Linked DNA regions of Macaca fascicularis. The protein of the gene in region 2 interacts with the protein of the main gene of each other region in a biochemical or structural test. Links are inferred from orthologs where the notes say so. Each region holds a gene or a part of one and is shown on either strand. Other genes may lie near its edges. The genes, in order: CAB39 and STK26.

Region 1 (3,825 bases), on a different chromosome or scaffold from region 2:
AGCACAGAACCTTGTAACTCAAAACAAGAATCTACACGTTGTACAGTGATATCACATCATGTATGTATTTAATTTATACAAATATACACCAAGGGAGGAAAGGCAGATGGGGGAGCAGGGAAGATACATTATGATTTGAATAGTGTAGGTGATTCTGTCCACGCACTACATTTAATAGACATGATCCAGTGTGAGCAGGAGATGGGAGAGGTGAATCCACTGTTTCCTCAGGCCTATTTACAATGTATCTCTGTCCTGAATGTGGTCCTAATATTTCATGAAGTGTATATTCCAAATTAACATAAACCTGAACAGAAGCCAACTACTTCATCTGGTGCTTAACCAAAGAAACTGCTACACAATGTTTCAACACAGGAGAAAACCTGGTTGTTACACATGCTGTACAGTACATCATACTTAATTATAATTTAACAGCAAAGTAAAATGTTGACCACACAGGACTTTTGTCTTTTAGATATATTTTAGAATCTAACTTTTCCACCCTTTTAAAGCTGTGACTTTACTGCATATACCTCTTTCACACAGACACATATAAAATGTATCTTTCTCTTCCCACTAGAGGGCAGCCACGTGTAGATTTAGGAGGGCAACGAAGGTTTAGAAAAACAGCACACCTGTTAATCTGACTTTCAAGCATATTTAGAATTCTACAGTTTTTATGTTACCTTGAATGTGGCAAATGCATCTGAAGCTATGTCAAATGTTGACATTTCGACATATCTGAAGAAATCATAAAACTGTTCCGACCACAAAATGATTTTTGCAAGTGGTTCATGTCTGATGCATTCTCTTAACATTATTCCACAATTTAGAGCTATTTCTGGAGATTCATACCTGCAAAAACAAAAAACCAAACAAACAAAACAAACAAACAAATATGATTGCTCTTTCAAAACTCCAACAATGAACAGTTCAAACTTTTAGGGCAGAAAGTTTTCGGACATGTATCCTAACTAAATGACCATCGCAGATTACAGAAGGTATTTCTGTAGAGCATGTGCTCAGGTAAACTGATTCCAGAGTGCAAACACACACTAGTTGGTGATGACCACCTTAAACCAAAGAAAAATAGCCATACGAGTGACTGTGTGACTAAAGGTACATTATTTAAGCTGAAAGATTTCAAGAGAGGTATTTCGGGTCATACCATAACTCTATACAGGGGTTAGCTTTTACAGATGGTGCTCTTGACACTCAGAAAAACCAAAAGCTAAATCAAAACACACAAGACAAACTATTTCCCCAAATTCAGAGTCTCTAAATAGGTCTATGAATATATAGAATTTATACCTTGTTGTTTTAATTCAATACTCAAGATAGTACTTCGAGTCTCTCAGCCACATGTAAACACCACCAAGCTGATAAGCCTCCTCCTGAGGACTTCACTAAGGGTTCCCATCAGAGAGCCCAGGGGCGACGAAGCAGGCGGCCCCCCCTCGTCAGCTCTCCACACATAGCCTTCCCTATGCTCATCCCCATGTCTCTGGCTTCTCCTCCCCTGCCATTAGAGAGACACCTCTCAGCCAAGCAAGAGGCATTTCCCCTTCAGATGTGCACAAGCCCTCTGACTGGCCTCTTCCGCCCCCTCAAACACATCGCTCTCTTCTACTTCCTCTCAAGCTGCATGCACTGGCTTTCTTTCCACCTCACATTCTCCTCTAGTTTCTTGTAGTCATATTCCATTTCCCAACACACTAGCGAAATAAATAACGGGCCAGCAAAGATTCCCTCTTGGCTAAATAGAGTCTTCTACTCAAGTGTCCTGACAGGCTGTAAAAAACCAAACGAAAATAAAACATTTCACGGTTCTCTCCTTTCTATCTCTCTGACTGTTCCTATTTCTTGCCTGGCTGAGGTCTTTACCTGTATCCCACAACCTGCTAATGAAAGCCCATACAATCTCATGGCTCCCACCACGACTACTAACCCCACCTCCATGTCTACTCCTGAATTAGGCACTTTCTGTTGCCTGTGGACAACTTCCGTTAAAGCGCTACCATAAACTCAATGTGTCTCAAATCAAATCTCATCCCCCTCCATAAAATCACCCCCATCCCGCTTGCTTCCTCATTTCTATAATTTGGCATCATTATTTTGTTTCAGTCATCCAGTTCTAAACCAGGTTTAACAGAAATTTCCATGTTCTGTATCTGTGCTGTTCATTATGGAGAGATTGGCCATATACAGCTACTGACCACCTGAAATTTGTCTAGTGTGACTGTGGGGTTGAATCGTAAATATTATTTAATTTCAATTAATTACATGTGGTTAGAAGCTACTATATTGGACAGCCCAGTTCTAAACCTTTCCTTCTTTACTCCAAATCTTCCCACCTTCAATGTTAGGCTTTGAAAGCCTTCAAAGGCTTTAAAAAATGTTTCTCTGATTATCTTAGTTTCATTTGCTTTTATCCATTCCCACTGCTACATTTATTCATACCCGGACAATTGCAAATGCTTCCTAGCCAGCATCTTTGTTCAAGCTCTGTCATAATAAATCTACCCAACACACAAGTGTATCAACAGCATTTCCAGCTTGGGAGCTTAAAATGATTTCTTCTAGCTAATCAAATAAACACAAACTTCTGGACTTAACTGTCCAGTCTTCCCCTCATTAGATCTCCTGTTATAGCACAATGTCACCTCCCACCCTGCCATACAACTTTCAAATTTTCTCCTTACTGCTGCCAATCATGTTATGTTCATTCCTGCCCCTATACCTTTGTTCCCAGTCATATGCCATTAGGATGCCTTCTCTCTCTTTTCTGCCTATGTAAATTCTAAACTAGTAGGAACTCCCATCTTAAGTCCTATCCTTTTATCAATCCTTGCCTTATTAACTCAAACCACATTTTATCCTCTGAAATCCTGTAGTACTCATTTGTTATCTAGTAGTGGTGTCCTCTTACACATCATAGATCCTCAACAAGATAAAACCACACTCCTTGGCATCAGTGGAGGCATGCAGCTAGAATGCTGACTGGCTCTTACTTGATGGAAATATCTGCTCACAAAATGGCTGATCATACAATTCATCTTTGCTGAACTTTAGTAGGCAGGAAGGACAAGGGTAAGACAGTTTGGTACAACAAGTTGAGCAGGTTTTGATGGAGGCTTGTCAAGCTTGTCTAAATGATTAAACCATAAACAAGTACAAGGCAAACAGTTATGCTGTATAACCTGTGAGCACTAAAGTGAACAGCATATTAACATGTAAACTGCCAGTAAAAAAAATCGCCTCCAAATGCAGTCTAACACCAGCAATAAGACTTCAAATGCATGCTAATATTAGCAACATGGCCCCCCAAATAAACATCTACCATAGAAGTACTTACAGCCTAAGAAGATAATCACACTGTATGGAAGCAGTTTAAATTAATCAACAAAGGTACAAAAATCTTAAAATGCAGTTCACAGTGCTCCTTGAAGAAATGGCTGTTTCCAGGTCTGGCAGGACTCATACAAAATGAGCAAGATGGTCATCCTACGCCAGAAAGCAAGGAAGCTATCACAGACTGATGGGGTCTTGCCAAAAGAACGCAGAAGCCAACTTGAAGGAGCTCCCAAGGGCCAAAGATGGGGCAATTTGGACACAAGAAAGTAATGACTGGAATCGACTGAGACATATCAAATGTAATTTTTAAAAAGACAAAAACTTGAGTGTATAATGATCCTTAAAACAACTCAATACTTATCTAAGGAAGTGGCCAGGTCACCAACTGATTATACTAAAAAATAATACCTGATTATACTAAAAAATGAGACTATTTTGGGATAACTAAGTCATCAAGGAGGAAAGGTTCTT
Region 2 (3,825 bases):
CTGCCCCATTCTGTACTTTCTTTGGATCAGGCTTCTTTCGTACGGTGGTAAAGCTCCATTCAGGATGAGTATTGTTTTCCCTGCTGGTAGATTCCCTAAAGAGATTGCCAAAGATACCTCTATAAGTGACCAAATGATTCAGCTTGGCAAAAATATCAAATCGATGTATGTAGAATCTAAAGGAATAATTGTCCCAATGTTTAAAAACTCCTGGTACAAAAAAGATCTGATCTCAGCTGCAGGTGAATACTACATTTTACTACAGAGTGGTAGTGGAGTGGTTCTCAGCTCGATGTGTGCTTCATTGAGACCTCCTACCAAATGTAAATACCTGTCCCTCACTGCTCCCCACCTATTGAATCAGGATCTCCAGTGGTGTGGCTTGCGATTGCTTTAAGGTTCCATGTGCATCCATGTCCCTACAAAGGACACAAACTCATCCTTCTTGGACTCGGGAAGGGGAACATCACACACCGGGGCCTATCATGGGGAGGGGGGAGGGGGGAGGGATTGCACTGGGAGTTATACCTGATGTAAATGACGAGTTGATGGGTGCTGACGAGTTGATGGGTACAGCACACCAACATGGCACAAGTATACATATGTAACAAACCTGCACGTTATGCACATGTACCCTAGAACTTAAAGTATAATAATAATAAATAAATTTAAAAAATAAAAATAAAAATAAAAAATAAAAAATAAAAATAAAAATAAAAAGGTTCCATGAGTGACTCTTATGGGAAGCTAAGGCTAACACCCATCAGAATAGGGCACAAATTATTCTGATATTTTTTATCCCTTTCCAACATTGAGCAATTTCTCATAAATGGAAGAATCTCAGGGTAGTATCTAAATAAATTTGGTGTTGCCTTTTTGCCAGTTCAGCTGGTAGAGGACTAAATTCTGGCATAGCATACAGACTTTCCTAGTCTAAATTAATTGACGGACTTAGAGGCTGAATTTTTAATGTAAACGCTGCTGTTATAAAACACTACAACTTTTTCAAGAAATAAAAATTACACATAAATGAATATTCAAATGTATCAGTCTGATCTGGATTTGGTACATGGCCAAGAGGTGGGAAAGGAAAGTTCTTTAGAGGGATTTTGCAGGTTGCCATCAAAGTATGAGAAAACACAGCTCCTTATTACTTTGGGCAAACTAATATAACACTTTTAATTGAATCTTGCTCCAAAATTTTGTAATATACTCAAGTATCCACTAGGGGTTAGACCAAGACCATTTAAAACTAGAGCTATTCACTTCCAAGAAAAACATGTTTCCAACTTCATTGTATTCTAGACTGTGATTGAAAAAGATTTTTACAGTTTCTAAGGTGAAATTTCAAAATATGGTTTATATTTTATGCTAGAACAAGCACACTGATCATAGCTAAAAGATATACAATATTTAAATAGGCTACCTACATAAAAATTAAATAATTTGTACATACGAATCAGAGCCCTCGGAATCAGATTCATCATCACTGTGTCCTTCTGCCTTCCATCTCTTAAAACGATCTATCAGTTCAGTCAGATAAGAAGTCTTCTTTGAATTTTTTACAATGAATTTGTGTTTCAGAAGTTCTTTTGCTGTAGGGCGCTAAGGATAAAAAGATCAAGGCTGCATATTACAATTGTTGAACTCTTATGATTACAAGGAATGGTTAAAAAATCATCTGAATTATTAAGCTGAAAGGTATAAAGGTATGTCTGTAGATATAAGAACAACTAAAATGCTGTAGGAAAATAGCTAATTCTATTATTGAAGTGGCTCAAGGCAACTGCATTGAATCTACTACTTTGGCGTCTAAATTTGTTAAAGCCCAATGGGCAGCAGGTGGCTTACCCACCAGCAAACTGGCAGGCAGGGCCTTCTCAAAAGCAGAGAGACACATGACAGTATTTAGAAAGTAAACATTTAAAAACATTTCAAAGTAATGTTCTAAAATACTTTAATCACATTTACTGTAAATTTGAAAAAAACTGATGAAAACTTGCAAGGCTGTAGTTTTGTTATTATTTACACATATCTTATAATCCCTTCTCCATCAGACATCAATGTCTATTGCATCTAAATGCAAACACCAGGTGCTGTGGAGAATGTCCCGCCTTCACTTTATTAATATCACAATGTTTATCATCAACTTAAAAATAGTTATATCAAGTTTGGACTGCTCTTGTGTATTTCTCGTCTCGAAAAATCACAAGGCAGCTTTATTTCAACAACAGCAAAACAACTGTAATCGAATCTGCCAAGTAAATGAATGGAGCTCACTAGCCTAGGAAAAGTATACAACTCCACGGTGAAGTTTCTAAACACTAAATAAAAATAGTTAAACCTGGCCAGGCGCAGTGGCCCATGCCTGTAATCCCAGCACTTTGGGAGGCTGAGGAGGGCGGATCGCTAGAGGTCAGGAGCTCGAGACTGGCCTGGCCAACATTGTGAAATCCATCTTTACTAAAAATACAAAACTTAGCCAGGCATGGTGGCAGGTGCCCGTAATCACAGCTACTTGGGAGGCTGAGGCAGGAGAATCGCTTGAACCTGGGAGATGGAGGTTGCAGTGAGCCTAAATCACGCCACTGCACTCCAACCTGGGCAACAGAGCAAGACTCTGACTCAAAAAAAAAAAAAAACAGTTAAACCCAAACATAACTTTTCATGAAAAATGAAAACAGCTGAATAAAAATCACTGTATTTATACATGCACTTTAATAATGACATAATATAAAGATAACTTTACTTCTCAAATTTATTTCCCCCTGAAATAGGAAATAATGAATAGAATAAGGAGGAAGCTGGGTACCAAGAAAAAAATGAAGGGTAAGGAGAAAAAGAATGAAGAATCTGGTTAATAACTCAATAGAAGTAGCAGTACAGAAGGAAGAACCAAGTTCCTGGATGGATCTTAGACAATTCTCACATGCACTGTATTCCCTATTGCAGGAAAAGCTGCCTTTGCTATAAGTAGATCTAATAATAGAAAATAAATAGTAATGATAGCAATATATACTCACAAATGATGGATCTTTGTTCAGGCAAGCATCAATAAACTCCTTAAAAGACTTAGTAAAGTCTCCAACAAGAGTTGGAGGATTGTTTTTGGGAATAAGAAACAGAACTCTCATTGGATGCATATCGGAGTTAGGTGGCTCTCCTTTGGCTAGTTCAATAGCAGTAATTCCCAACGACCAAATGTCAGCCTAAGATAAAAGGAAAAACAAATATATATATGTATATCACCTTGAAACTCCATTACAATATACTACCACAAAATAGTCTGTGGAACCTAATGGTCATACAGTACTTGTCTCTCAAGAAAATGTGGTGTTAATAAATTTTTATTACTATAATTCATTTATTTAAAACATAATGAATTCCATACTTTGTGTCAGGTACCCTTCTCAGAATGGAGGATTTCAGTGGTGAATAAGCCAGACAAAAATCCCTGCTCTTAAGGGGCTTACATTCTAATAAGAGAGACAAATAAATAAATAAATACATAATATGATGCCAGATGGTGTTAACTTCTGTGAAGAAAATAACAAGCATAGTAAGAGAATAATGAATGATGGGGGCAAGAGTGTTGCAGATCTACATAAGATGGCCAGGGAAGAATTCTCTGTGTAAGTGATGTTTAAGCAGACCTGATTGTGGGAGGAAGATTTTTTCAGACAGAGGGAAGGGCAGGTGCAAAGGTCCTGAGGCCAGGGTGTACTTGCTATGTTTGAGGAACAACCACGAGGCCACTGTGGACGAATAATCTAGAAGAGAGTGGTAGGAGATAAGACTGGAGAGGCAGATAATGGCCAGATTGTG

The links.
Region 1: the proteins of STK26 (region 2) and CAB39 are reported together in a solved structure, tested with the Homo sapiens proteins (2 studies listed by IntAct, with this or other methods). The link is inferred for Macaca fascicularis from reciprocal best matches to the Homo sapiens genes STK26 and CAB39.

The regions. Positions count from the first base shown.
Region 1 is NC_088386.1:126,716,542-126,720,366, reverse strand, and holds part of CAB39 (calcium-binding protein 39), read right to left. Parts: intron 856-3,825; coding exon 687-855; intron 1-686. UniProt on the Homo sapiens protein: Component of a complex that binds and activates STK11/LKB1. In the complex, required to stabilize the interaction between CAB39/MO25 (CAB39/MO25alpha or CAB39L/MO25beta) and STK11/LKB1.
Region 2 is NC_088395.1:138,326,786-138,330,610, reverse strand, and holds part of STK26 (serine/threonine-protein kinase 26), read right to left. Parts: intron 3,210-3,825; coding exon 3,024-3,209; intron 1,606-3,023; coding exon 1,457-1,605; intron 96-1,456; coding exon 2-95; intron 1-1. UniProt on the Homo sapiens protein: Serine/threonine-protein kinase that acts as a mediator of cell growth. Modulates apoptosis. In association with STK24 negatively regulates Golgi reorientation in polarized cell migration upon RHO activation.